Linked DNA regions of Lepisosteus oculatus. The protein of the gene in region 1 interacts with the protein of each later gene in a biochemical or structural test. Links are inferred from orthologs where the notes say so. Each region holds a gene or a part of one and is shown on either strand. Other genes may lie near its edges. The genes, in order: lamina-associated polypeptide 2, isoforms beta/gamma; lmnb1.

Region 1 (15,794 bases):
ATGTGAAAAGGCTCTTGTTACAGGCCAGAGACAGCACACTGTGCATCTTCCTAACCTGATCCACTGCAGGAATTTAGTTCCTGAAAAAGACCCAATTGTTTCACAAGTCTGTGGCATGTTTCATTCTAACCACACAATTTAGGACCCAGAAACAACCGAACGGAAGAGAGAGGCAAAGTGTGCTCTATTGGGGAAAGAGTCTTTTTTAAAAAAAGCCCTATTTCTTTACAATTAGTTATCAACTGAACAGGACAGCAGTGACATAATCGTTCCCTCCAGATCACTTACGAGGTGCATCAGGCTTGACGTTCAATGGCCTGAACCTGGATGCATGCGAGTGCTTTTCTGAGATACTAAGACTTTTCAATAGTTAACAGCATCTCTTAAAGGCTTCCCTGAGAAGCTCTGCCCTTGAAGGAGTGCAGCTTGAGCTCCATAATTCAGACATTGTGGGTTCACGTCTGGTTCAAGTGACTGGCTGACTTTAATCGGAATTCCCCAGCTAGTGCACAGCTGGCCTGGAGCCACTGAAGGGCACAGTGGGATTAGCTGAGCAGGTATCTTCTTGGCTCTCCGAGGCACAGTGTCCCCTGTGGCCTCCTGGGTTCCTGCAGCCATGCCTGGTTCTCAATGAGGGATTCACCTCCCATCCAATCAGTACTGACCCCCTGGTACTGTGTGGTGTTACCTTTGATGAATGTGCCTACCCTCCAATCAGAACAATCCTTCGGAAAAGGGCTGGGGAGCCTGTGATGGATGTGCTTACCCTCCAATCAAAGCTCATTCTTTGGTAAAGGGCGGGGCAGCCCATGATGGATATTCTTACCCTCCTATCAAAGCCCATCCTTCATTAAAGGGCGGGGCAGCCTGTGATGGATGTGCATACCCTCCAATCAAACCTTATCCTTCAGAAGAGGGCGGGGCAGCCCCATGATGGTCGTGCCTTTCCTCCAATCAGAGCTGATCCCTCAGTAAAAGACAGTGCTTTATATAATGAATAAATTTTCAATCACAGCTGATCCCCCAGTACAAGGCTGTGCTGCCTGTGATGTGATAGGAGATGAGTGCCTGGAGGCTGGGAGGAGTCTTGAATGCCAAGTTGTGAAAAGTACAACAGGCTATTCCAAATCAGATGTGTAAAAAAAACAAGACAAAAAGTTAAACAGCATCTTAAGCGATGCACTAGACTGGGTACAGCATAAATCAACTTAGGCAAGACGGCAAATCCCAAGACACAAGTTCATTTACATGATCAAATAAAGCACAATAAACTTTAGCCTGCCTTACATAACTAACAGTTAAACTGGAGCACAATTTGTCTAATGGTGCTAAAAAAACAGCTTTGCGAAGAAATCTAAACAACCAAGCTAAGAATAAAATCTTCCAGGCACTGGAAATGAGGTGTTTAACCCACTAATCCACATGAAAAGCAGAATTCCAACACTTTGTCAACATTGTTCTGTTCCAAACCTGGGTCTTCTGATGTCTAAAGTAACAAAGTGTATCGGAAGATTCAGGTAGTGAAACTGTGCAGACTGCACACCTCTCCTGCAAACTGCAGCTTCCACATTGTGTCAACAGGCATGCTGCAAATAAGAAACAGGCCTCAAATGATGCACTAACATCTCAATTTATAACCATCTTGCAAAGTATAATCTGCACAAGAACCACGGTAATTATACCTCACCATAAGAATGACAGTCCTACATGAGGCCCTGGAAACTATATTTGAAAGGAATATACCCTTTACATTCTGGTAAACTGGATTTTGACTGGAGGGGAACTGACGGATATTTGTTTGGAATCCTTACATCAGCAGGGAAGAAAGCTATAACAAGCAAGCTATAACATTTTCACTGAAATTACAAGTGGAAAAAAAAGGTCAAATACTGGTCTAGATGGGTTCAGTACATTAAACCTTCAAGGTTGGATTTTGTTGAGATACAAAATAACTGGTCTCCTCCCTTTTCATATTCAGAAATGTATACATCTTCCTTCTTTTGAATGTATATAGTTTGGTTTAAAAGTTAATTAAATAATCGTAAAATACTAGGGGAACAAATAGGAACAGACAATTGTTTGCCTGAGATGTAAGGCTGAATAATGGTGGTTTATATGTAAAATGGTTTTGTTTTGTTCTCTAAAATATATCTTTTTAAAAAAATAATAACAGTCCTGGAATACATCCAGTGGTGTGGTTCAGTAACAGCGTGTGTGAAACATAACTCCACACAGAAACGAGTGGAGACCTGTGATATAGCGGACACACGGGGAGAATACAGGGTCACTTACTCAATCCGAGACTGAACTCGTCACAGCACACCTACATCTGACGGCAGAAGACAGACGTCAGTCAGGACATGAGAACTGCTCGGACAGAGCACGGACTGTGCTCTGCCGGAGGCAAACACGTCAGGGCAAATGTTACTCGGAAAGTTGCCGCCAATAGCTCATTCAGCATCTTTCCCCCCCACGACCACCTTAAGTGAAGATGGCCACGGCGTCCACTCCACTCGGGAGTGACTGTGTGCCGTGGGAGGGAGTCCCGACGTCCAACCCGCAGTTTCTTCGTGAAGCCCCGGTAGGGGGCGGCGTCACCTGGGCTTGACACTGACGTCAGCGCCGAGACACCCCCAGCGACGGGCCTCGGGTCCAGATTTCCGTCTCACTGACGCACTAATTGCTTACGTGCTAATGGGCCGTTAGGTCCACTCATCCGTCTCAGCGTGACGAGCTCTGTAACGCCCGTTTCTCGTCCCGGACTCAACAAAAGGATTCGCGCAGTCGGCCGCTCTCTCGGCTGGGTCCAAAACAGCAAAGCATCGAGTTGATCGCTCTTAAATGACAACCTTTTAGAGCTGTGGAATTCTTTTTAAACAAAATCAAATCAAAATCAAAGTTTATTGATCAAATGCACAACAATACAGCGCGCAGCGGTAGTTGATGGCAATGAAATGTCTTTTCTGCGAGCTCACAAAATACGAGAATCACAAAAAAATGTTTAAAAAAAATCACAAAATCAAGGTTAAAAGCACAGCAACCCGCCTCAGCACAAACCGCACTTTTACCGGGGTAAAACACAACTCCGCTAAAGTTCAACTCCAGTTCGCCGCCCTGCTGCCACACGGACACCTGTCCTCCTGTGCTTTCTGTAGGGTTTTTTTTCTTTACTCCTTATTAATTTTTTTTTGTTATTGTTATTTTGCTGTTTTTCTTGTTTCTCTTGGTTCTTGTTTACGTATGCCCTTTTGAAAGTGTTGTAGCATGTCTATTTTATTAAACTCCACAGTACTATTTGCGACACGGATCCTATTTTGTGGCGTTACCCGCTACACAGTTTTTGTGACGCTCACACCTGAAGAGGGTGTTTTCTTTCTTCTCTTTCCAGCACGGAATAAACCTATGACTTGTATTTTTGTGATGCGCTATAAATGTTACATGCTGTGGTGTGTTATATTGTACATGCGCAATAGATTGATGTACAATGTTTTTCTTATTTATTGTAATAGAATAATGTGCAATGTTTTCTTTTCTTCTTTTTTTTGTTTGCATTCTATTTAAATGTATAGGAGCGCTGCGTGTCCATAAAACAAAATTCCCTCAGGGGACAATAAAATCTAATCACTTATCTTAAATCTTTCTTTTGCGGCAAGAATAGTTAACAAAAAGTAGTCAAATCCCCCCACCCATCCACCAGGTGACATGAAGACCGAACCCACCCCGTGTGGACCCCCACACCCCAAGACAACCCGCAGGACGCTATCGGGGAGCAAATGTACAAAATCTTGAACCGCAGAATGTGGCTCTGGGGTCAGATATTTTTATTATTCAGATATCCAAGAGTTATTTACCGTGATTTACCGAACTCCGCACAAGAGACATTTTCCCTATCAAGTTTTATAAAACGATATACCCGCTACGCAGTTTTTTTTTGTATGCAGCGCCTTAACTTCGATTTAAATAATGGAGATGATCCGCTACAGTTGAATATTCAGAGAACATATTTTTTTAAGTTTCGGTACTTGTCGATGCGCGCCTTCCGTTTCTTACTGCTTAAGCTAAAATGATTTGATCATTTCACGTATTTGTCCGTGATTTTGCCCAGACGGTTGATCCGGATGTGCAATCGCTCCTCGACTCCGTGCAGAGCCCGTTCTTGCTCTATTGTTTATTTCCCTTCAGCGTGACCGGGCTGCCCGCGTCGGATTCAAAACACAGAAGCGCCGTCCGGCCACGCTACGAAATATTTCAACCCGTTTGCGATCTCCGTCTCGGAAACCGCTCAGACAAAAACGCACGACGTTTTCGAAGCAGGTTGAACACCGGCGAGGTATATGATTTCGGCGCGTCTCGGCGCAGCCGAAAATGAATTATTAATGGCGAAAGGCAGTTCCCACACAATAGCGAGGGGCTCTCGGCTCCGAAGGCGGTCCGAGTGTTTAAGCGGGAAAGTGAGAGACGGAGGCGATTCTCAGGGACAGCATCGCTCACACTCGCAGGACAGGTGAATGAAGCTCGCACTTCCCCCCAAAATTCACACGGGCACTCCGGCACCTGTCCATTTCCCACTCCAATCGCTTTCAATCGCCTTCATGCACCGCATTGTGGTCTCTCCCCCCCCCCAAGATCAACGTTATCTGTAGAAGACCTACTTCGGTCTGGGCTAAGACCAAAAAAAAAAGGTTCTTCAAAGAGAAATAAATGTAAACAGCGGAGAAAACATGCAGACCTCTATACCATATTGTAACGCATGCCTGGCTGGCGGTGGTGGTCCTGCACAGGCCAGAGCTAACTTTTGACAGGAGGCACCACCGAAGAGCACAAGCGACAATTCACAACAATCCGCGCTTGAACGAGCGACCCCGGCACAAGCCGACACAATCTTGACCCGCTGTAGTTGGTTAAAACAAAACAAAGAAATACCAGAAATAAATACCCGGTCCTCTCTTATTATTTTTTTTTTTAAATGGGACAAATAAGTGCTAAAACAACGCGGTCACCGGTTAATAAAATCAGGAGAGTCGATACAAGCTTGCCTGCCCCGGCTACAGTTGCACGCTTTTTTTTTCAAACTGGCGTTTCATTGAGCTAGCGGGTCCCGCAGCAGGGAAACACAATGTAACCAAGAGCTGCAGGCACGCCGGCGCTTCAAGCAGCCGCCGCCGGCGGCCGGGACAAAGTGCAGACTTACCCTCCCGGAGCGGTTCCTGTTGCTGACCGGGGGCGCAGCCGGCAGCTCCTCGTCGCTGGAGAAAGCCTCCGGGGCACCCCGGTTCCTCCTCGCCTTGTTCTGCGCGGTGAGGTGCTGCAAGTACAGCTGGACGTAGACGTCCTTCTTCTGCTCGCCGCTCGGGAGAGGCACGCTGTTCGCCAGCAGCTCGCTCTTCAGCTTATCCTTGGTCAGCACCGAGGGGTCCTCCAGGAACTCCGACATGTCTGCTGGTGGTGGTGGTGGTGGTGTTGGTGGTGGTGACCCGACACGGGGAATCGGCGCCTGTCGCTACGACGCGCAGAAAATTGAACTGGACGGGGAGAAAAAAAAACGTGCAGCGGGCGCCTCTTGTTGGAGTAAGACAGTAACGCCAACGACAGTCGATATCCTTCGCGAGAACCGCTATCCTTTTCTTCCACCCCTCCCCTTCCTCTCCTTCTTGCGCTTCAGACCTGCTCCCCGGGTTTCTGCGGCTGCGGCGATGCGCGAAAGCAGTGTAGTTCCAGCTCCCTTGTTTAAGTGTGTGTGTGTGTAAAAACACGCCACCCTAGCGAGCGCAGACAAACAACCCGGCCCCACTACGAAGCCAGAGCAGCGAGAAAAGAGGGGGGGGGGGCGGCTTTCGCCTCACTGCCCAGTAAAGCCGAGCGCCATTGGGCGGCGTAGCTGTAGAAAGGACCTCGCCATTGGCTTCAAGTTGGAGCGCAGAAGCTGAGGGCTAGGGGCTCCTGGAGCCGGGGTCTGGGTCTGTACGCGCCAGGAGCGAGCAGGACTGAGGGCTGAACTGTGCTGCGGCGAGGAACAAGCCCTGGAAAGATGATGATGATGATGGGATTATAATTACGCGCTTGTAGGAAAACAGAAATCGCCTGGAAGTGCATCAGTTTGCTCGTTAGTGTAGAATAGCCGGGTGTTGTACCGTTGCGTTGCAATGTAGCAGCAATGAATCGGGTGATTTCTGCACCACTTCAGTATTTTCTTATCCGAATGTCAAACGCGTCTTCACGGCAACGAACCAGACCGATTAAGAAGCGTTTCGGAAGCCGGACAATCTCGACCAGTAATGTGGCGTTGAAATAAGTACTAAGTACAACGCTTGCACTACTACTGGTGTCACTATAGTCCAGGGGCACGTAACGCACTGTGTTATGGGTTGTATACAGTACAGTATGTGAGGACAAGCCTCCTGTGAAAGAACTGGGCCATTCTTGGGGAACGGGACTCGTTTACAAAGTGCATCAAGACCCCTGGGCTCCACCACGAGGCCACGATACCGCAGCTTTCTCTCTTTTCGGGGGGGGGAGGGGAGTGTGAAAAGCGGGGTTCTGGCGGACACCCCGAGAATGAGGTTCACACAAAGCGTCAGTCCCTGCAGGTGCAGGAAATCTCGCCCCTCTCCTCTGCATTCCATACCAGAGTCTAGGAGTCCTTATACAGAACTCACACAAGGGAGGAAGGGGATGTTCTTGTGCAAAACTCTTTAAGTAGAATATTGTCTTTTAATATTGCCTTTATTGAACCAAGTGAATTTAGTTGTATTTTTTTGGCCTGTCTTCATTTATATATATGATATTATATGCCATTAAACTGTGGGTATATAATGCTGTAGTGTTTTTGTTGCTTTTTTTCCATCTTTCTTTGTGATGGGAAAATAAAGTTCTTGAAGTGGAGACTCTCCATGCAGCTGGCCCTCATCACCTCCTGATACCAGAGAGACTCCGGACTGTCACCCGCCCCTTGTCCTGATGTCCTGCACCCAAAAACGATCCTCCTCTTTTGGTTGGGAACTTTGGACGTATTGTCCTGCACTTTGGACAGACTGTGGACTAATCATTTTTTTTTCACGTTCCATGTAGCTGAAAGTGGGGTTCCCAGCCCTGATCCTGGAGGGTCGCTGTGTCGCCAGGTTTTCATTCCAGCTCCACTCTTAGTGAATTAAACCAGCTGGATGCCGGCTTGACGGGAGCCATTTCTCAGCTTCTCCCAGCTCTTCAGGTGCTGCTGCTTTAAAGAGACCTGGAAAACCTGTCACACTGAACCTCCAGGACCAGGACTGGACAGCCCTGCTGTAGACACACTGACCCCTCCTGGACCAGGACTGGACAGCCCTGCTGTGGACACACTGGCCCCTCCAGGACCAGGACTGGACGGCCCCGCTGTAGACACACTGACCCCTCCAGGACCGGGACTGGACAGCCCTGCCGTAGACACAGCGCCCCCTCCTGAACCAGGACTGGACGGCCCTGCTGAAGACACGCTGACCCCTCCAGGACTGGGACTGGACGGCCCTGCTGAAGACACACTGACCCCTCCAGGACCAGGACTGGACGGCCCTGCCGTAGACACAGCGCCCCCTCCAGGACCAGGACTGGACTGCCCTGCCGTAGACACACTGACCCCTCCTGGACCGGGACTGGACAGCCCTGCTTGCTTATGTGGTCGAAACGCAATTACCCTTGTTTTTACCCAACTGCTGATATAAGGGTGGTCTGTAGATCTCGCTGGACCGTGGCCCTGCAGGACCAGAGCTGGCCACCCCTGGCCTGCGGTAACCAGATGGAGATCAGGAATGAAGGTGAAGGAATTCTCCTCCTGGAGGTCAGGAGGGAGGCGGGCGGAGAGAGAGGTTCTCCTGGGGACATGGTACTGCAAGTCCCTACCCTCTGGCACCCCTGCTGAGGTGTTCCTTATGGCTGGGCTCGAGTCTGCGCACGTACAGAGACCGGAGGCTGATGACTCAGAGACAGACTGTTGTGTGACAGTGTTGCTGTCGGTTATTTGTGCAGTTGTATTTCCCTATGCGTGTTCCCCTCTTTTTGAGTCTTTCTTGTCTGTGCTTTTGTCTTGTCTTGTGTCTGATACCCCGACAGGGAATTAATTTCTGTGGTGAGGTGTTCAGTACCTCTCCCTGTTGTATGCTGTAGGTTAGAGTCACAGCACAGCCAGGCACAGTGGCGTAGGAAGACATGATTGCTGTTAAGCTATTTCTTTGCACATTATGCACATGGTCAAGTATATTTAAGTGGTCTACTGGTGAGTACTTATCAATGCTATACTAAAATTGAGTAAGGTAGCTCAGACATGTAGCGACAATATAGTGGATTCAAATTTTATCGTGTGATAAGTCTAAATCTGAAACGTTTGTGTCTAAACAATACAGTTGGTGAAAGCTGCAATGCAGTCTCCTAGAACTGGATTATTATAATTCTACGGCCAAGCGTGAAAACCAAGGAAACGTTTGACCAAGGTAAAATACAAGAATATACAGCCCCATGAACTTGCCCGTGACACTCGTGTTCTGGAAAGGATTATGCTTTCAGCAGGATAGAAATACACAACTGTATAAATGAAATAGTAAATACAGTTTTATGGGCACCTTCCAACCAAAACCAAGTAAAGGTCTTCTAAAACCAAATCATCCGAACATTCCCGCCAAACAATTCACATGCCCACTGTTGACAAACAACAGTGTAGACGCAGAGCCTTTCCCTTTCCCCCGGGAGAACGGTGATGGAGACAGAGGGACCGGTTTGTAAACCGGAGGAAATCGGCTCACCCGTCGTTGGATCAAGCAGCAATTTCCCTGGGAGCCCCCCTGAATCGTTTTGTTCCAAACACACTGTAATCATAATCGTAATCCTAGTTTAATACCTCACTTTTATACTCCGTGTGCGTAGTTTTAAGTTTCGTTCTTGTCACCTTGTCTTACTAAAGTTTAATTGTTTATTTTTAAAGGAGGGTGGTGGTGGTGGGGGAGTTCAATTGAATGCTATATTAGTTCAATATATTGAAATAATATAATTATTTGATCGACCAAACGTCGTGGTAATGATTTGCGGTCGGGACACGTCTATCCAGCAGTAGCTGCTCTGGAGTGACGCTCTCTAGCTGGGTATCTCTGTGAACAACCAACAACAATTCCTGGGCCATCTTCTGCTCTTGCTGGGTCTCTCCTGCCTGTCATTTCCAGATTGTCTGGAAAACCTAGTTCGTTTTTTTTTTGTGGCTCCTTCTCTATCTTTCTCCATCTCAGGATACAGCTTTGACCCTATAAGACGGCGAATATAGATAGAGGTGCACTTCCTACTGCACTGTGACAAATATTCTGGGAGGAGAGAAACATTCTTCCCCAAATTTACAAAACTAATCCCAAAGTTCCCACACCTGCCAGAATCACAACAAGTACCAATCCTCCTGGGAGAGGGAGGAGGGAACTCTGTTGAACTGGCAGCCAAGTATGTGATCTCCTGTCCCAGCCTGAGGAGCAGTGAGCCTCTCCCAATAATGCTCCATATGTAAATATCGTATGATCGTGTCTTTATTGTAAATGCCTGCAGATTTTTTTTCATGTTGTATTTGTTTTGCTTGGGGAGCACTGGTTTGACTCATTGGACATGCCAATAAAGCCTCGTGAATTGAATTGAAAAGGTGCAGCGCTCTGCCTGGAACACGAGTGGCGTATCTGACAAATGATGAATCGGGTTCCGGGGAGAATGGGTGTTAAATGTGGGGCTAAAAGGAGGAGTGACCCCGACGTGATTCGAACACGCAGCCTTCTGATCTGGAGTCAGACGCGCTACCGTTGCGCCACGAGGTCCTGCTGGACAGCTCTTTTCCAAAGTCTTTACGTGCCAGAAGACTGTTTGCCGACCGCTGGCGTGAGGACTGGGGGGGGTAATTTGTCGTATCAGGACGAGCATCAGTTTAGTCGACATTCCTGACATAGTAGCAGGTGCAGGCAATTAGCCAACCTCGGCACCTTTATGGTCTCTCCCCCTTTCCCACTTTTTTAAATAATAATAATAATAATAAACGCCCGGCGCTTTGAGACGCGTTTAAACCACGGCGTGTACTGATCGTCGCTGTTGGGACTGACACCAGTTCAAAACCCCACAGTGGAGTTGGGGGGGGCCATCGTGAAAATACAAAAAAAAGTACGCCGACAGGCTAGCGCGCCGTTTCTGTGATCGCAACCGACCAACCCTGAGGCGGTGAAGATGGCTTCCCCGCCGGGTGGCCGAACGGTAGACTGGCGCCCTCTTGTGGCAGCAAGTGCCAACGCGCCTCCTCTCCCGAGCAAGGGAAGAGCGCGGAGCGGGCCAGCATGGGGAAACAGCACATGACGGAAGCCGATCCCCGAGTTCCCAGCCAGAGACATTTAAATCAACACTCTGAAATGATTTTAGGGTTATATTTATACGCATTACACGGCTGTTTCATATGAAAAGACGACGCATCGCGTATAAGGGACCCGAGCACGGCGCTGTCCCCCAGCCCGTCCTCGTTAGTATAGTGGTGAGTATCCCCGCCTGTCACGCGGGAGACCGGGGTTCGATTCCCCGACGGGGAGGCTGAGATTTTTAACATTTTCAATCCCTACGAAGGTGTAGTGGACATTTCTGGAAGCAAGCAAAAACAAAAAAAACAGGGGGAAGGCGGGGACATTATTGAACGGAAAATGTTAACGTTTTCACGCCAATGGAGTCCATCAACCCAGGCACATTATAACGTGGCCAACTGTGACACGGGTCCCAGCCTTCTCTCTGGAGGTACACGTTGAGGGTTAAGACGCCTGTCGACACAAGGAACAAGTAAAGGTCTTATTCCGCGCTGAAAAGAGGAGAAAAGAAACGTCCTTTCAGCTGTGGAGCCTTCTTCGGGTGCCCACTCGAATAACATACTACATACGCTGATAAAATCATTTGAACTTACAGAAGACGTTTAGCAACGCGCGTATTCATAATTATAGTAATTAAGACGTACACCGGTTTATATATATTTTTTTATATTTAGTTATTTCGTTTTTAGTTCGAAATTGTATTCTTCTGTTTATATTAATTCCACGGCCATCATCCAAAAACAGAAAACGCCACTATGTGACATGACATCCGGCAGGGAAAAAAAAAAAGGTCCTACCCCGCCAAAACCAACATTACAATAATCGGGCATAAATCTGAGTTTAGCCCCCGAAAAAATTTCAGCCTCCCCGTCGGGGAATCGAACCCCGGTCTCCCGCGTGACAGGCGGGGATACTTACCACTATACTAACGAGGAAGAGCTGGTAAGACCGCCCATTTTGGGCTTTTTCAGTAATTGCAAAACGTGACAAATTGAAAAATTAGGAGATGGCCAAATATATATACATATACATGCATATATGTCAAACCTAGACCCCCCATAGAGACTGATACATTTATACTTACAGCTGGTTCAGATCCTAAAAGTCTCTTATAATGACCTACTCCTGTTCGTTCACAACATATAACATGTCTCCTCTTTTCACAAATAAAACATTTCTCGGGTCAGCTAGTTTTTCTAGTATTCACCGAGAAACTTTCTGGAATCCCAGTGCGTGTTTTTTTAAAGGGAAAAAAAAGACGACAGAATATGTCCTGACTCTAATTTCATGTGTAATCTGTCTCGTCTGATTTCTCGCCTTATTCTCGGTACAGTAGTTTCACCTCGCCCGAGTCGCTGCTAAATAATACCGCCGAAAAGCGAGCAATTTCTGTAAACACCATCTCTAACAAAGCCTTAGTAAAATGCAAGCAAATGTACAACATATATTTATGAAAAAATGTGGTAAGTTATACAATTACTTTTAAAAAAGAAAATAAAGAAAGCTCTGCTCAAAAGATGTGCTGCAAACACAAACTAATGAGCTTTTAAGCATGCATTATTCCCTAAGAGCTCGTCTATCCCGATGTCGATGGCTTCTGTTCATATACAATCGATATGTTATGATGGACTTTACCAATACTGTACATAAATAATGTTGGACGTCCTGGTGTAATTCTGTTTAAGAATGCATGGTATATTGAGACTTTTTTTAAAAATTGAAGTCCAACAGGTCAAATATTAGGAGAGCTATCCGATATTCAGATCGCTAACCGATATACCTGATCTCGGCGGGGTGCGTGTCAAACTCACGCAAGAATCAGTCATCTTCGACGCTGCGGATCCAACCGAAGTCGCTGCTTCGGCAGAAGTGAAGCCGCCAGAACAGGCACCTTCCGGCTTTTCACCACCAGAGGGCAGTGCAGTACCACCGCAGCGTCGCCCCTTCCTGCCCGACCCAAATGCTCTCGCGTTCCTGTGTTGGGCGACCGACGGCGTTGGCTTGTACGTCCCGTCATAGTTCAGGAAGCACAATGCACGTCAGCAGAATTAAAGATGACGGAAGGGCAGAACGTGGGACAGGCAGACATATATGTCCGTGTAGCACAGGCTCACTAAATGTGAGGACGACATGTACGGCATTTTTTTTTTCATCGTTATGAAAAAATGCAAAACCGGGAGCAGGAACGCGGTGATGCTGAATACTCATCACAAGAGACAGCTTGCAGAGACGATAGAAAGGACTTTAGCTTCGGAGCCTTGATGGCTGTCTGTAAAGATCTCCTTCAGCCTGTACAGGTGGGCTCTTCTGTGCATATGGCACCCGGCAGGTACGTTTTGGCCCCGGGATATATAGTATGGACGTGTGTGTGAGTGTGTGAGAGAGAGCTTCCTAGCCACTGGAACAATGCAATATCCTGGCGTGGAAACAAATGCTCTCCTTCTTCTTCCAAATACCACAAATACTTCATTATCCCCTCTAATAATCGCGATAAAAGCAGTCCCTCAGGCAATCAGAGCCATCAAAGGGGCTTGGAGGAGGTGGTTTTCCCACAGAGGCAGTCTTTCCTGAAGACTCGGAGGGCCCAGGGCAGCTCGGCCTTCTCTGCACAGCAAACCTGTTGTCCAGTGCTGCACATGACAGACCACAGCACTACTGAGGACAGGTCGGGGGGTCACCATCATTTCCTGTATGTGAGTATTTCAGCCTCAGCCCTAATCCGAAGTGTCCTGGTGATGGCAGATTGTACTGCACAGCCTCCCTGTGGCTCCTGTACCATCAGACAAGTGCACAATGCGCAGAGGTGCAGAACTACACCCACAATCTGTTCTTACGCTATGAATTGTATAGTATCAACGGTTTCTAGTAACCAATGAGAATGCACTTCACAACACATTCGACCTTGTCAGTGCAAACTCCACACATAGATCCATTACCATTTTAGCTTTTCTTAAAATAGACCGTGTCGTCAAAATTCTGAGATTTGAGTTAGAAATCCACTTGAGGTCTTTACTGTTACCTTTACCTCAGGTCATGTCAATAACGTTTTAAGCAGATAATAATAAATAAATATGCTCTTTCAGACTCGGAGACTGGCCCTTAGCTTGACCTGTAACTCTGAACTCCCTCCCTCTCTTCTGAGCTCCTGCCAGCTGAACTATTCCTGGACTGGCGTCTGTGCCAGTGAACACTTTGTACTGCCTCAGGTCGAGAGATGGGAGAGCCCTGGCACTCAATTGCTCTCCATCGCCTTGCTGTATTTTGCAACCACTTGTAACCTAAGGCTATGTGTTAGTTTGAATACGCTCCTGTACAGTCCTGGGGATCCAGTCTGCCTCCTCCTGCAGGGCTGGTGATCAGGGATCCAGACTGCATTCTCCTGCAGGGCTGGTGATCAGGGATCCAGTCTGCCTCCTCCTGCCGGGCTGGTGATCAGGGATCTAGTCTGCCTCCTCCTGCAGGACTGGTGATCAGGGATCCAGTCTGCCTCCTCCTGCGGGGCTGGTGATCAGGGATCCAGTCTGCCTCCTCCTGCGGGGCTGGTGATCAGGGATCCAGTCTGCCTCCTCCTGCGGGGCTGGTGATCAGGGATCCAGTCTGCTCCTCCTGCAGGGCTGGTGATCAGGGATCCAGTCTGCCTCCTCCTGCGGGGCTGGTGATCAGGGATCCAGTCTGTCTCCTCCTGGGGGCTGGTGATCAGGGATCCAGTCTGTCTCCTCCTGGGGGCTGGTGATCAGGGATCCAGTCTGCCTCCTCCTGCGGGGCTGGTGACCAGGGATCCAGTCTGCCTCCTCCTGCGGGGCTGGTGACCAGGGATCCAGACTGCCTCCTCCTGCGGGGCTGGTGATCAGGGATCCAGTCTGCCTCCTCCTGGGGGCTGGTGATCAGGGATCCAGTCTGTCTCCTCCTGGGGGCTGGTGATCAGAGATCCAGTCTGCCTCCTCCTGCGGGGCTGGTGATCAGGGATCCAGTCTGTCTCCTCCTGGGGGCTGGTGATCAGGGATCCAGTCTGTCTCCTCCTGGGGGCTGGTGATCAGGGTTCTGCAGTGTTTAGTTTACAAAATAAGAGGTCATTTATCTCATGTTGTTCTGCTGGTTGCTAGTATCATATTCATATAAAACTCACATGGAAACATAAATAGACTATAAGGAAAGGAGAGCATATAAGCAAGGATGAACTTTTTTATTAAAAATTGGATTTTGTATTTGGATTAACCAGAAATACTTGCTTCTAATATACACACACTCACCCTTTTAGAACTCCATGTGTGCGCTTTTGTGCTGTAACATATTGGCAGATAGCAGCAATCCTGAGGGAGCTGCTGTTGATCTTCAGAGTCTAGTAGGCACAGCAGGCACTTATCACCAGAAGTGCTCATTCACACTTTCAGGCCCACAGAGACCTCAAGTCTGACAGGTCAGAAACAAAAAAGCACGATCGAGTCAGTTTGAAGTTTAAAGTTTCAGCAATTGGGAACAGATTAAATCATTTCACAACAAGCAAGAGCATAATCCTTCCTATGTTCTTCTCATTCCACAGCAGGCCGATGAGGTCCTCCGTTCTAAACTGGACAAGTGAAATGAGCCAAGGTGACCTTCGAGCTGGTGAACTACCTTTGTGTCCGTGAGGTTTATAATCTACTCGAAAGCTCTTATTAGGACTTAATAATTCCTTTTCTGCCCTCAAAACAACAAACACCAACCAGTGCTTCCACAGGCACCTTCATTTCAGGGCATTTCCAACTCAGATACTTCCACTGCCCTGGTGCGGTGTTCACTGACACTAGCCTTGTGTCTTCCTTCAGCGTGTTGAGGGATTATGCGGCAACTCTGCTATATTTGGTCTACACACACTGCATGCTTGTGGGGTGGCATCCATGAGTCCTGTCTCTTTGGGAGAGACTGCATCTATTCCAGGGAATCAGATGTTAGCACAGTGGGGTTTTTTTTTTTTTTTACTCCTTCCAAAGTCCTCCTATATTTATCCCAGTGTGCCTGTTTCCACAGGTCCTGTCCAGAAGGCCATTTCTAGTGAGCGGCTTCAGTTGGTCTGTCTGCACAGAGGTGGCTGACGAATCTGTGGTCAACTCTAGCCACACCCAGACTGGAAACTGAACATGTTGGTTTGCCAGTCACCTGGCTTGCTGCAGGGGGCACACTGAGGTTGGGAAACAGAGCTCACAGCGCTAGAAGAATCCTACAGAGAGGATTGGAGCACTATTGTCCATGCATTTATTTAGCTAAAGCTTGTATGCATGCAGCCTCACGGTGTCTGAGTGAGGACCAGTGGTCAAGGTTCGGGATTCGTAGCCAGGGGGGCTATGGGTTCAAAACGTTGGCAGAGTACACCGGTTGCACCCCAGAGAAAGTTACTTTGCTTCATACCGTTTGGGTCACAGCTTTATAAATGAGCACCAAAAACTAACAAAATATCCAGTCTATACTAACCTAAAGCGGTCAGTG
Region 2 (15,746 bases), on another chromosome or scaffold:
ACTTGGGTTAGATATACCGTATGCATATTCTACAAATACAAATGCTATGCTTTCTTGTCCAAATTACGATATAGGCTATTTATTCTTCACAAAAGTGTACCCGTGCCTTTAAATATGATCGTGCTGCTGCTTCAAGACACAAAAAAAACAAATATTTCACAACACATGCCAGATAAAACACGTTCTTACAGACATGAATAAAACACTTTTGCCTTACCCTTCGTCGAAGAAAAAGTTTGTTGTGGGTCTGTTTCGCAAGCTGGATTCTCTATCAGTATCTGCGCTATATGCCGTTTCCTGGAACCTGTTCCATTTCGCGTTTACATTGTCGTTTATAATCAGAGGGACAGATTTGCTCATTTTTCCTATCAGGTTCTCCATATCATAGTACAACGGTGGCTGTGTCAGACTCAGAGGGTCTAGCGGGGAAACCTGACAACAAAACCGATCCATATCTCCCCCCCAGCTCACTTTTCCAAACTACCAATCTCTTTGCCTGCTATCACAGTTCACGCAGAAGAAACTCAACAGCTAAATTTAAAGACTCTGAGGGAGACTCATTGGGTTAATGAGCGAAGAGGCAGGGTTTTGAAGTCTAAATACATAGGTGATTGATTTATTAGTACGTTTGTTTGAGTGACGTTTTCAAATATGGTAATTCATTTCGTCACCCTGTTGTGTTTTACCTTATGCATGCAGAACATGTATTTCTTTTAAATAAACATTCTATGTCACTATTCTTTGGATAGTAAATTGGTTACATTTAATACAATAATATACCGTTTCGTTTTAGGAAATTATACCGTTAAGTGATCACTAAATGAGTTTGCACTTTGTCGATTATATGGAAAATAATGACCTAAACCTATAGCCTGAAATGAACGAAAACGCTTCCGTGACAGGTTCGTGGTCTCCACAATTGTTTCAAGGAAACGTTAAATGGGGGTTGACCTATTACGATGTACTATACATTTGGTAATTCTGAATACGTTTCCTTGGTGTTATTGGTGTTTAGTTCAGTTTTCTTATTCAATGAAGGGTCACGGTGGACCTGGAGCCTATTACGGAAAACAACGGGCACAAGGAAGGGTACATACTGGATGGGACTCCAGTTCTTCACAGGGCAGACAGACACAAATACGTTCAAACCAGGGCCAATTTTTCCATGAGCCAATTATCCTACCAGTGTGTATTTTGACTCTGGGTGGAAACCGGCGCTCCCAGGAAACCCACACGAACTAGGAGAGAACGTACAAACTCCGCGCAGACAGCACCCCAGTTCAAGGACTGAACCCAGAACTGCGAAGCAGCGATGCAAAACAATCAATTAAATATAATTAAATATCAATTAGAATTATTAAAATATTACTACAGTGGCCAAAATTTATTTTTGTTTGCGGGTTGCTGTTATTCTCATGTATGGCACTTTGCCTTGTCCAGTCCGATTCTGAATTCCACGTCTCCCAGTTCCTCGATTCCCACTGAGCACAGGAGAAAACCGAACGTCCCTTTCCCTGAGGAGGGTTTCTAATTGGTCCTCTGCGCGGCGCCCTCATGGACAGGAGTCCTATTGGTTTCACAACTAATCAATCAAACGCATTTCCTACAGATGACGTGATTCCCGGTGTTGTCATCAACAGTTGCGTGGTATGTGATGTTCTTGTTGTTCACTATTGATATTTTTAGAAAGTTACGAAGTCGTCAATTCAGCTCTACAATGGGGATTCTAAGACCATCGGTAATATAGCAGTCGTCCTCAGGATATTAATTAATTTAAGCAGTACAAATTTCTGCTTAGATACAGACCACGTAAGTACCACATATTAATGACATAATGTCTAAACTAGCAATGGGGTCTTCTTCATAGTTTAAATTTCCACTGAAATACAGTGGGAAAACATCGTACTGGGGTTTACTAATCGCAGCACACGTCAAAGCAGCAAGATGGTTCATACTAATCGTCTGATTGTTGTTGACCGCCATTGAGCTTATCTACTTGAAACTTTATTTTAATGTTGTTGTCTTTTTTAAGTTTACGAAGCGTTCATTTTAAAATCAACCTAATTTTAGTTAATACATTTCTATAATAGTATCATTTTCACACGTGTACATGAGAAATTACATTTACATTCTTTTCATTACAGTAGTACAGTATAGGGGTATTCTGTAATATTATGTTACATGTACATGTGAGTCTTTCGAAATCACCTTTTGAGGCATAGTTCGCCTATGTGAAACAAGTAGTTCCTGTATAACCCTCTGTATTTTTGTCAGTTTACAAATTAGATCAAGTGACCTCATAAAAACTAAACAGGCACACAAGGATGTACTTCAGCTGCTTCTGTGCTTTGTCTTCTTTATGGATGAGTTGGAGTTTAATAATCATTAGGTAAGCAGAAAGGTTTTAAGATTGCTTAACTGTTTGATTTATTTGTTTATTTGTTTTCAAGTGTGTGTATGTCTACCAGTATGTTACTTTCAGTGGGATGTTTTACACAGGCTCTCCTGATTAACATTCTATAAACATGATGTGGCTTCTGTGATGATAAAGTACTTTTTTTTACCAGTGATGTGTGCATGCAAAAATGGTATTTCAGTTCTGTCCCTGATTTATGAGTTTGACCTTTATGGGTTTTTTTTATAATCGGATCATTATGTAATTGGATATCGGGTTTGGTTACCATTGAACTGTTGTCCAGATCATTCACCCATTTTCTAATTGCTTCATCCAATACGGGGTTGTAGGGGAGCTGGAACCTATCCCAGCAAGCAGTGGGTGCAAGGCCCGGGTACACCCTGTACAGGAATCCAGTCCACCTCAGGGCTCACACAGAAAGACACAAACACACTCATACAAGGGCCAGTTTTCACCGAAGCCAATTAACCTATCAGCACAGTATGTACTGTACTATGTGTTGGGGCTGAGGGAGGAAACTAGAGTACCCAGAGGAAACCCATACGAACACACAGATAACAGATAACAGCTCGTGAATTGAACCCGGGGTCACGGCACTGCAAAGCAAGGATGCCAGCCACTGTGCTACCATGCTGCCCTTCTCCAAATCAATTCTATTTCATTTTCACTGCTGATTGGTTTAAGGAACAACTACTGTACATTATGAAACTACTGAACTTTATGAAACAGTGGTTTCTGGCTACTTGAAAGAGGCTCCATGCTGCTTTCTTGTTAAGACTGAAAACCGCGTGTATATTTCATTAACATCCTTCATTGCTGGTATGAGAAGCCTTCAGAACAGACTGGAGGAGAAAACAGTAATGCTTTGCATCACAATAAAGATCAATTTCCCCGAAACAAATGGTAAAATAAATCTTATAGAGAAAATGTGCTTAGAAATGTCTTATTTAAATAAAATATTACAAAGAAAAGGCATTTTGTTGAAATGGTATGAACAATGGAAAGCACAGTAGTTAGCATTGCTAACTCTCAGCACTAGCGCCATAGCTTCAGTTCTGGACCTGTGATGCTATCTGTGTGAAGTTTGTATGTTCTCTCCATATTTGCATGGGTTTCCTCTGGGTGCTCTGGTTTCTGCCTTGCACTCGCCGTTTGCCGGAATAGTCACCGTGATCCTGAATTGGAAGAAGCGGTTAGAAAATGGATGGATGGGTATGAATAATATCATCGAAACCACGAAAAGCCCCTAAATTAATGCCGAAATAATTTGTTTAGAAGGGAAATTTAGCATTTAGGTTTCTACAGTCAACAATGAACAAAAAAAGCCTTATTAAAAATGATTTCTTTTACTTTGTAAATTTATGGTGTAGCCGAATCTAAAATCTGTGTTTCGCATAACAAACATTTTATACTGTTTTCAGCTATACTATAGTTATGTTACAGTCCAGTGAATTATAGTTTTAGTTTTAACACTTACACATTTGTACCAGCAGGGGGAATCATTTACTTAGGGAAATGGGGTTTATTCTTATCTCTTGCTAACTTATTTTGGGGTAATATATTTAGTATATCGTATATTTTGACACCTGAAGAAGGCTCCACGGCTGAAACGTTGTGTTCTCTTTCTTCTTTTTTTCAGCATGGAATAAACCTATTACTTGTTCCTTTGCAGCCTACGCATGCTGACGCAGCTACCCACCTGAAATATTTAGTATATGGTTTGTCTTGTTTATGCCATCACTTTTTGTATAAACAAGTAATATTAAACCATCTTCTAGAGGGCTTCAGTCCTTCTGCTCTTCATTCCAGTTCTTGTTCTCAGTTATCTGAATTGGTCAACTGGACAAGGATAATATCGAATGATAGAATAAAGTAAATTATTAACTCTAAAACTTTTTATTTCTTGATAGAAGCATTCAATTTTGTCCAGTCAACTAATAATGTGATCAATTATTTTAGAGCAATTAAGCTTGGAATAAAATTGTAGGTCACTTTGTAGTCAGCTAGACTCCACTGATAGAATTTTCTAGGCTGTAAAAATAATCCTATATAATTTTATATTTTATAGATCCTGTGATGGAGCACCATTAACACAGAATGAAATGTGTAAGTATTTGCATTATGATTTGGTCAAATGAAACCTCATGAATAGTGAACATTTAAAAGAAAACCACTAAATATGAGCTGAATGCACAATTCACATATTTTAAATGTGTCTCTAATTCATTTTTTTTCAGCTAGCAGTGCACAGCCACTTCATTGTTGGGAGACAGAAGAATTTACAGTGCTGCGCACATGCTTTCTGTGCAGAGATTATCAGATGGTAAATCAATCCATATGTTCATGTCTGTGCCCAGATGTGGATGAATGAAAGGCAGAATGTGAAAAGGAAGTGTTTATAATTAGAGAATAATAAGGTCTTGTATGGTTTTCCTTCCCAGGGATGAAGCAGTAAAGGTAACACTTCATTGGATATAAAGGAAAACATTTCAGAATAAGAATCAAGCTTATTAGAATGATGCTTTATTTGCTCCTCTTGGTCTTCTTCTGATACTACTTACTATTGTTAGTATCAGAGTTCATTCCATTGAGCATAGTATTGTCTTTGATTTATTATAAGAAGTGTGTTAAAAAGTGCTTCCTTTTATAGAATTACTTGAGATCACACAATATTCTTAAAAAGACACCAAAATCAAATGGAGCTGTAGGATGTTCAAGAGATCATTGTACAGTGTGTGGATATATGAATTAATTTGACTGACTTGCTCGCCTTTGCTGTTTTGTACAGAAAACTGAAGCACAGTGTACTTTTTCTGGCTTTGTAGAAGAACTGAAGTGCAACACCTCAGGCCTCATTGAACATAGAAGGTAAGAACATTAGGAGGGTTACAAATGAAATGAGGCCATTTGGCCCATTTAGCCCAATTGGTAGTAGAGGCAAGGATCTCAATTAGTTGCAAGAGGCCAGGGTATTGACCTCTACAACATCAGTAGGTATAGTAGCTTATTCTATACTTGAATAGCCCTTAAGACAAGTATTGTTTGATATTTTTGCATATTTTCACATTAACAATCTTATGACAATTTGTATGGCTGTATTACATCATTCTTGAAATATGGCCTTTCATCTTCTTTTTGTTGTGGCTTATTAACCCAAGGAGATTATTTCAAAATCGTTCATTACAGCTTGTGTTAGAATTAATTTATGTATATCTACTGTAAATGATTAATTTTTCCAGTCTTTTCAAAATGGTTTATTATATTGTGTTGTTTTATTAAAACTACAAAATATCGTACTGTAAAATGGCCACATTTAATTTTACATCAACCATCATCATTTTTTCCCCATTGGTTTGGATCCTCAGCCAGCTGTGGACAAACCTTTTAAATTCCTTTAGTTGTGATGTTGAATTGGACAATGTCCTTCATGGCTTTCTGACACTGTTCTGCTGTAAGACTGCGCTATTTGTAAAAACATCTGCTGTACGCAGCAGAGGAGATTTTAGAGATGTAAAGGCTGTCATTAACTGCGCAATAATAACAGATTTGCTAGCTGAAAAAGTGATTTATTTGCATTTTAGTTGTCGCTCTGCCGCCGCAGAGGAGCTGAAGTTCTGGAAGTTCGAAGGTGCTATGCTGACGTTCAGCACCCTGTTTGCCGTCCTTGTGATGTTCCGCCAGCGCACACTGGACAGACGGGCTGAATATAAAGTACAACAGCAGATCCAAGGAATATAAGCAAGCTGTGGATGTTCCGGTCCTGGATGGTTCTTTCCTAATTAAATTGTTATTTGTTCGTCTCTGTGTTTCCACCCAAATGTGAATTTTTTGGTTTATGTTAAACCTACTAGATGAAGGTTTCAGACAAAAGGTAGTTCCAGCTCCCATCGTTTTTCTTATTACAGTGCTGTAAAGATATTTTTTTTTCAAATGCGATATGCTGCAGATTAATAATAGAGGTGTAAAAACTACTTATCTTTACTGTTGTATTCCTGTTTCTTAAAAGACAAAACAGAGCTGTTTTAAGTTTGTGTTTTATTGTGAAAGTCTTCAATATTAGGTTACTGAAGTGGGTGATTTAATTTTATATAGCATTCTTGCCTGGCCAGGGGTATACCATAACAAAAAATGTGGTTTATTCAATAGAGAAAGATAGTTTTCCCTGTTTAGAACTGCTAAAAGGAGACAGCTTTGTCCTGCTTAGTCTTCTTGATTGAGAAGGCTTGTTTTGCATTAGTCGATGCTTTGGAGTTATAAATAAATTCTCTTTCTCTATTGAGAAACATTTCATGATAATTTAAATTGCCTGCAGATAACATTTAGGATATGTGGTTTTGAATGAAAGCAATATTTTATCTAGCTGAATAGCTAAATTACTACCTCAGACAACATTTTCAAAAAGTGTGTTGCACAGAGTGTTTCTATGAAAAGAGAATTCTGCCTTGCACAGTCAAGAGTTAGAACAGAAACACTTTCCAGATCAAGAGATATAGTTTTAATAAGCTTGTAATTCTTAATCATAGAGTTTTTATTGAGAATCTGAAATAAAGTAAAGTTTGCGAAACAATTTTGGACTCATTTCAAATGAAAACTAGTTAATTTGGGAATACATATTACAGTATATACATATGAATAGATTTATATTAAAATAATTAGGACACAAAGTGTGAGTTAAAATATTTGTATAAAGATTTAGATAGTTCACAACATTATTTAAAGGTATAAAACCATTAGCAAAAGTTGTCACTTTAGTTATGAATTACACATGACAGCTTTTCAACAGATCAATTACTCTCTGGTGGTGAGATTATAAATATTTTAAATACTCAAAGAAGGTATGATTTAAGATATGGATTATTTCTTCTCACCACCTCCCAGAATTTCACATTTAAACTACACAATATAGACTTGTTTTAAAGTTGTGTAAAAGATATAATTGTATTTGTTAATACTGCTGAATTCCCATTCATTATCAGAGGATTCTGAGATCATGGTATGAAAATGTGACAGCTAAAGGCACAGCAGAGACATTTCATATTTCCTGAATTGTTAGTGGGATTATCAAGTGGGATTTTTTTTAAAAAGTGAGTATGAACAAAAATGTACTTTTGATTCCATGGAGCCAAAGCTAAGAGGAGACAAATGACAAATGAGGAGGCCTCCCACTCCTGTCCCTAAGTTGAGCTCATGAAAGTAGCCCTAGTATTGTTAAAAAATTATAAATATTGCAGTTCCCAAACTAGTTATCAAGTGGGCCCAATAAATCATATTTTTATTATTTAAAAAGATGATCTATTAAACTATTCAGGTGTTGTGTTGGGAGAGGTGTGGAAGGTTAAAAATGAAATGATTTTCCTCAGAATTGATTCTTATGCCATCTGGAGCAAATTCAGAATAAAGGGCTTTGAGCTGACTGGCATGAAGACACTCAGTCCCTCTGAACCCTTTAAAGCACAGTTGTAGGAAGGGTAGCTAACCTTTGCCCATTTCAAACACAATTTTTCTGTGTCACCATTTTTCCAAAGTAGCTAATAAAATTTAATAAAATTGTAAAGAGCCCTATACTTTTGTTATGTAAAGAACAAAGCTTTGGTGATAATTTTCACACTGGATAATATTCAAGTGCATTCAATTTCAATAAAAAGAATGCATATCTCAAACAGTTTTTGCTATTTATAAGGATTACATTTGTTAAATGCAACAATTTTTACAGCAGTGTTGAAAATAATTGTACATACAGTACCGTTTAGAAATGAAGCAAAAGGTTACCTAAGTTTGGGCCACTTTTTATCTCTGTTACTGGTTGATGGCTATCCTATAGAAGCAAGAAAAAATGTTAGAAAAGTCTAGCACCTATATCTCTTCTTCACATTTCTATCAAGAAAGCAAATCATTACAGTTCATAGAATTTACAGTACTTCATATCCATTGTTTGCTTTAGCAACTTTTGAACGAAGATTCCAACTTTTTGTGTGAAAAAAAACAATGAAAAAATTCTGTAAAAAATGATAGATTTAAATCTAAATTATATCCAACGATTAACAATTACCAGGGTGTTTGTTTCATAAATTAGTATAAAGTAATGCATGCCTCCAGACCTCTTCTGAAATTTATGGGAACTGATTCAAGGTATATTCCTAGGAATATTAAATATGTATAGAATGTAAATTCAGTACTATAAATATGGATGCTTAAAATATTTGGAAGAAAACTGGTTATTAAATTAAAATTTCTAAAAAACATCCTTGCATTATACATGCAACTACAGTATGGCACTACAATCAAGTCTTGTTAATTAAGGCAATCAAAAACAGAAACCACAAAACCTTATAATATTGAGCATCAAAAACTTAAAAAAGCATCGCAACAGCTCATCGTGCTGATCAACATTTGTTATCCAAAGAGGTCTATAAACTTTTGGAGGCAATAAAAGCTGTAGAGCTGCGACTCGGGCTTTGTAAAACTTTCAGATTGCGTTGTTTGCGGGATTCTGACTCATTCCTCACATAGAGTCTATGTTACTTATAGTAGATCTCCAAACTTTAGATGCCACACATCGTGAGAATAAATCCGACAACTTTTCAAAATGGCTCAAGTCAAATAGCATCCACTGCACTGCTGTCGCATTTCTATCGCGCAAGAAAGCCGTTACAGGACCAGCGTTAGTACAAGTGTTGTCCTATTCAATACCTTCCCGAGTCGGCAGGGAAGCGCAGCAGAAGATACAGTATTTCAGGACTTAGTAAATGTAGCTCTGTACACTCTGGTTTAATAGTGAAGATTTGTAGAGACTACATACTCCTGTGAAGGCAATTTAAACCTCTCCGTCTGGTCTGCGGCAATAAACGAATCGTTCTACATTTGCACCTTACTTACATGTCCACCAATGTAAACTACCCACATAATCTTGGTTACACTACCGGCGATTTCCATCCAAAGATGCAGACGAACAATAGGCGTTGTCCTGTGAAATAACTGGTCAATCGTTTTATTTTGTGTTTTGCTTTCGTGTAGTCACTTTTTCACCGGTGCCCGATTACGTCTCTTACTAACGAAGTGGTTCAGCGGTTAGACAATCAATCGAGTCTATCACAGTCAATCAAGAATTATCAAAGTCATCAAAATGACGCCAGAAACATGTAGTCATTATACACCATCTGTATATATTATTTTCTAAAACCTGAAAGAAAAGTTTATTTTGATAGTCAACATACATTACAAATTGCTGCTAAACTGCACACGTGCGTTTAGGATTTATTTTGAATTTTGTCTCAAACTCGCAATTTGAAAGGACGGCTTTCGTTACTTTATATCATTGGTTTCATACAGTCACGTTGCTGTTAGATGCTAATGAGCGGCCATATTAGTCAAACCCTTTCTTTCATTCGGTTGGGAGACAAAGTGAAGGGAGGCGGTTTGTAGGGTTTTTTTTGGTCAATTCCTAGCTTGCTTTTCCCTTTTTGCTTTGCTTGCGCTTTTTTTCTTTTTTATTGGCTTCATTATACCCCTTTTGTATTTATAATATTTTTTTAAAGAAGGGAATCACGATAAATATATGATTTCTGCTCCTTGATTTTATAAATAGCTTGGCTTTGTGGGAAAATCTACATATTGGTTTTTTTTTTGTACTTTTAGGGATTTTGTCCTGCATAGGTTTTTTTTCGGCCTGCTTTGTTTCGCAATTTGGTCTCCTACATTTGCTTCTTTTGTTACAATGGCGACAGCAACTTCAACCCCGGCTGGGCAAAGAATAAGCACTCGTTCCAGCGCTGCTAGCACCCCGTTGAGCCCCACAAGGATAACCAGGTTGCGGGAGAAAGAAGAACTGAGAAACCTGAACGACCGTCTGGCCATTTATATCGAAAAGGTGCGGAGTCTGGAATCGGAAAACAGCGTTCTTCAGCTGCAAATTTCCGAGAAAGAAGAGGTGCGGAGCCGGGAGATCACTGGCTTGAAGTCTCTGTACGAAACCGAGCTAGCAGACACCAGGAAATCTCTGGATGACACAGCCAGGGAAAGAGCCAGGCTGCAGATTGAGCTGGGCAAGATCAAAACGGAGCATGAACAGCTACTCCAGAAGTAAGTTTGCTTTTGGCGTTATATGGACAATTAGGCTTTTCTAAATCTGAATTGGAGGTAAAATCCCATGAAATCGTATCATGTTTTATATATAACCTTGTGCATATTGACATTGTATACAAGTTAAAATATTTTACACACACTTTATAAGATTTGTGAGGGTCGTATTTAATTGTAAACGAACCAATGTGTTTGTAGTAAGCAATGCGGTAGAAATTATAAATAAAAAAAAATATTAGTCAAACGACATTAACTACACAGGGTTTAAGAACAACGACAGAAAATTAATATATTTTAGACATTCTTCTGGAAGTCGCTTTTCATTGATTGCCTCAGAGGGGCGTGTTTGGTCACTTCTGTTGAGTGTCATGGGGAAGTTTATTAAGTTGCATTGCAGAACTGTGGGTCGCTTTGTGTCCTTTTCTTCTGTCAGTTTTCCTAGTGCCACACCTTTCCGATTTGGTGGGGGAGGGGTATGTACCTCTCGACAAAGCTGTTTATTGAAATCCCCAAGTCCACATGACCTTTTTTTGCAGCAAGTCGGCCAAAGATGATTGTTTTGGTCGCCAGTCCTGCTCGACTAACTCAAATAATGTCCCGAGATTTTTTTTAACGGCCTGTTTACGTTGATTGCTCCGGAAGCATCCGCTCCCATACGCAGCTCAGTGACCGGGAATGAATGGGTCTTCTGCCATGCTGGTAGACCGAATGATAGTACGCTACAATACTACTACTATTGGCCATATGTGGAAAAGGGGAGGGGTTGTGTTCTGCAACACAGGGACGCATTCTTGAGTTGAATAATGTTCGGATCCTTAATTTATTTTTTTTAAATCAAAGAGGACACAGTCGTCACCCAAGGGGCGAGCGCTTTTTTGTTATTTTGAAAGTAGGATCAATTTGCTCAAGGTCAAATTTCGGACCCGTCGATGAACAGTGCATTTTTTTAGGGTGTTCGGGTCATCGTGCCTTTCTTTTCCAGCTTCCTGTTAGGCGTAGGCGTCTGAAATATGCCTGGAATAATGCCTGTTCTCATCCTGTAGGGAAACGAAATTCTCCCTTTTAAGGGGAGCTGGATAATTGCACTAGCTGATTTTTATTATTCTAGACTGGAATGTTGTTACCTTAATGTTTTTTTTCTCTAGCCAGTGTGTACTTGTCAAGTAAAAGAGACTAATGTTAATCAAGTTGTACTTGTCATCTCACTTTGAAGGTCTAGTAAAGATGGCCGCGACCCCCCTCTTGCTGCGTAAGCTTGAATTCTTCACAAATATTCGCTTTTGAAACAGGCTTTAATAGAGCATAATTAGAGGTCTACGCGGCTCATCTATCTGGGTTGATCCTTAACGAATTAAACACACGCAGCAAGTTAGATTCGTAGGTTATTCCACACTTCCACAGTCCTTTGTGTAAAAACCTTTTCTCTGTTCAACTTGCTGCTGTAATAGACTCGTTGGTTATAATTAGAGATTTAACATACCCGTTTAATAAATGTAGTGTCTCTTGTCTGCTTCTTAAGCAATTTTCAAGGAATGCTTTTTTAAAAATTTGGTCTATACCAAAGCAGTTTGAAAAAAGAACTTAAGTCATGTACACAAAAGCATATTGTTTATTATGTTCATTTAATCTTGATTGGAATGGGTTATGAAATTATAACTTGCATTGTTTTTTTTTAAAAGCCTCCACATACCCGATAAACTCGATGCTTAAATTAGCAACTGAAACTCTCAAACACCTTAAAATCAATTCTTGTAAATTAAACTGCAGCGAAAAGATACGATGGTGTGAAATATGGACTTTCAACCTTCAAATACTCAATGTTTGCGGGCCTGGCTTTAATTAGGACATTGTAACTTTGCCAGGACTATTGTGTATATTTGATGGCATTTGAAAAGTCAATTTTTGCTATTGAATCCCTATGATAAAGCAGGAACTGCAATCAACATGTCGTCTGTCGTGGCAGTAGAAACCAAAGTACAAGGAGCGATACACAAAGGTTTTAATAGTTTAGAGGACAATAAGATTTGGTTAATATTTGATTGACAGCAGCACAGATTTGCACTACATCCGCATCTGTTCAAAGATTAATTGGAACAGTTGCAATCGTATATTTCTGCACTTGGTGTTTAACAGGTGGTTTCATACATCAATTGAAGCTGTTAAAGTTGTTTGTTATTCTTCAGAAAGTCTGAAGTTCAGAAAGAATTCACTTATAGTTTCTTTTGAGTCTGACTTGTCTTCCTGTGGCTCGTAAAGCCTGCAGGAAGCCCAACTTTAAAATGCTTGGTTTTTAACAGTCCAATCCTTGTTCCTTGAGAGGAAAATGTTTTCAAAACTTAATGGAAGTTTTATGAATTTTGTAAACTGATTGATTTCTTAATGGACATTAAATAGTACTTGTAAAAGCCATAACTATTTGCAAACACTTATTCTAGTGCGAACCGTCAGTTATTTGGGAAATTGCAGGGGCTAAGCTCAACACCTTAAGGTACTTGCATTATTCTAATACTGTAGATAAACCCTGGGTGTTACAAAGTTGAGCCAGATCAAGTACAGTACATTTACCCCCCTTATTAATTTTCCTTTTCTGAGCAAGTTAACCATAGCCATTTGGTCATGGACACTTGCTTTTTAAAGAATTGTTTAACTGTGAACTGTTTATTTTAATTAAAATACAAAATACAGGAAACTGAAAGCTATCTGATTTTGTGCAGTTACAAAAAGTATAACACAATTGGCAAGACTATTTGAATGAGGTGATGAATATTAATGGTAACATTGATATAAGAACAGTTGCTGTCAAAATCTGTGTATGTCTTACAAATGTTCATTCACAATGGCCGATTAATAGATTTAAACAAGAATCCTTCATATGGGTTGGTCTTTTGCTACAAGTGTTAATTCTTCCTCTTCAATGGTTTTCCTTTTTAGTGCAGATCACTTGAGTGACACAGCAGCTGGAAGACTGGTTTTGCACAGTTACTCTTCAGTTGTGCCAGTTGTTCCCTTCTAGCTTTTAAACCATAAATTACAAAGCCCTTTTGTCTTGGCTGCCATATACTCTTTTTCAAGAGACCTGTAATTGATATTAATTCTTATTCTACATGCACATTCCTGGGACGCTTTCAATGTAAACATAGAAGTACATGTACTTATGGTTATAGGTGTGCTGTATTGTTTGAATGTAGTGATCCACTAAGGACAGTGGAGATTCTAGTGACTTCATGTATGAGAGTACTAGATAAGATTTAAGAACTCCTTCCATACACTCATTTTCTAACTGCTTTAACTAATAGTGTTGTGAGGGAGTTGGAGCCTAGCCGGGCAAGCAAAGTGTGCAAGGCAGGATACACCTTGGATGGGACACCAGTCATCACCGAATACATATAAACAGATGCACACATTTTTCAGTATGTTCTAAGATCTAGTTATATTGAGCTTCAAGTGTTCAATTAAAGGTTTGTGAATGAAATAAGGTTGCACAGTTCTAAAGTTCACAGCTATGATTGTTGTAGAAAACCAAAGCCAGCCAAAGGAAATTTGGACTGTGGATAAAATTGGCCGTCTTTTTTTTTTTTTTGAGTCTCCTGGTTCAATTGCTGAATACAACACATCAAGGGAGGGGCCTTTTCTGTTTTAAGTACAGTTTTTCTTTGGGGCGTGTAAAATGTTTGAAATTCCAGTAGGGTTTAGGTCATTGCAGTTGCACAATGTTCTTCCCTGCATGTACAGTATTCATTGCTTTGTAGCATTTTTGCTTGTTTTTTTCCCCCTTATTTGCTCAGAAGTTTGTTTTTGATCATTTTATTACACTAAATACTAAGAATTGTAATTCCTTAGAAGAAAAATCTGTTAACCTTAATTTTGCGGCAAGTTTGATTACAAAACTAGCAGTATTGGGCATCTCGGAATATGTCATCGGCACCAGCAGCATACCGAGACGTTTTTTTTGGGGACTGTTAATGTTATACAGAAATCTCTCATAGGTCCGTAAATTTTATAAATAAACCTATTTCAAAATCACGATGTGAAAGTTGCCTATAATGTCCTCTGTAATTGCCTGTTGTCTTTGTCCTGACACATTACACTGACCCCTGTACTCACACAGGCAAGATGGCTGCTCTTGCCAGTTCACATGTTTGCCATTCATTCTCCTTTGACCTACTACACACTCTGTCCCTCACTGTCTTCCACACAAATCTGCAGGTGCTCTAGGAAATCACTGGTACCAGAACTGAGGAGAGCGTGGGTCCTTTAACACTAGCAGTGTTAAGCCAATTACTTTCCTGCTCATGGGTAGTGACATGATTTGAGATTTAAACTCAGTGTCTGGATCTTAGAGCTCAGCTTGTTCGTAGCGAGTGTATTTACTAGTTAAGCCTCTGGTTTTTATTTTTTAAAGTGATTATGTACTGTGGGACTAGTTTGTCTTTATTTGCATTCTCTTTTATTTTTGGAGCCCTACAGTTGACACCCTTTGTCACACACCTTTTGTGTTTGATTTTTCATTGGAAGATGTAAACCTGAGGTGAATATGTTGTCCTGCAAAGCCCCCTGGTTTTAAATTAAGTCTGATGCTTAATACATCCCATTCTTTTCAATATCTCCCATTCATCTGTTTTTTAGGTATGTGAACTCTTAAGTGTTTAAATTTTTTTTTTAAGGTAACTATCAGGTTGCAAGGGCACTCACTGTAACTGGAAACTGTTGTGCTGTCTTTTTGGCCCAGCTTTTCACAACATCCTTGAGAGGTTTTCTCTAGTCTCTTCACTTAATCCCTGCAACAGCTACATGGGCACAGGCTTTCTTCAGTACTACATCAGGTGTGTGGAGCTAAGCTGAGAATGTGGAGCTGTTTCTGCTACATTCTCTCCTTCTCTACCAAACCATAAGATAGACGTCTGAGGCCCCACATCCTGGGTATACAACAAATAAGATTTCTCCATTTATGGATCAAATTCTGAGACAATTATGATTTGTACAAATCAAGATACAATAATGGTTTTCAAGTAACTTTTAAAGTATCCAATGACTGGTGGATGTAAATGGAAAAGAAACCTTATTAAACATAGCCACCTTATTTTGTAGCACGTGTGTTGCCATCCTATTGAGTAGATGATCTTGGTAAATGTTATGCATATTATCAATATTGGTAATCAACAGATGGTCTGTTGTGAAAGTGATGTTTTGGGATTCTGCCCCGTTAGTGTCGTAAAGGCTAATCAGGGATCTACCTATTTAATGGTCTGTA

The links.
Region 2: the proteins of lamina-associated polypeptide 2, isoforms beta/gamma (region 1) and lmnb1 form a complex in vitro, tested with the Homo sapiens proteins (2 studies listed by BioGRID). The link is inferred for Lepisosteus oculatus from reciprocal best matches to the Homo sapiens genes TMPO and LMNB1.

Annotation. Positions count from the first base shown.
Region 1 is NC_090702.1:48,990,709-49,006,502, reverse strand, and holds the start of lamina-associated polypeptide 2, isoforms beta/gamma, read right to left. Parts: upstream 5,929-15,794; 5' UTR 5,435-5,928; coding exon 5,192-5,434; intron 1-5,191. UniProt on the Homo sapiens protein: May help direct the assembly of the nuclear lamina and thereby help maintain the structural organization of the nuclear envelope. Possible receptor for attachment of lamin filaments to the inner nuclear membrane.
Region 2 is NC_090698.1:51,387,547-51,403,292, reverse strand, and holds the start of lmnb1 (lamin-B1), read left to right. Parts: upstream 1-9,788; 5' UTR 9,789-10,130; coding exon 10,131-10,495; intron 10,496-15,746. Other genes in the region: la-related protein 6-like, read right to left, coding at 218-453; protein JTB-like, read left to right, coding at 2,325-2,389, 4,485-4,522, 4,654-4,739, 5,205-5,284, 5,998-6,154. UniProt on the Homo sapiens protein: Lamins are intermediate filament proteins that assemble into a filamentous meshwork, and which constitute the major components of the nuclear lamina, a fibrous layer on the nucleoplasmic side of the inner nuclear membrane.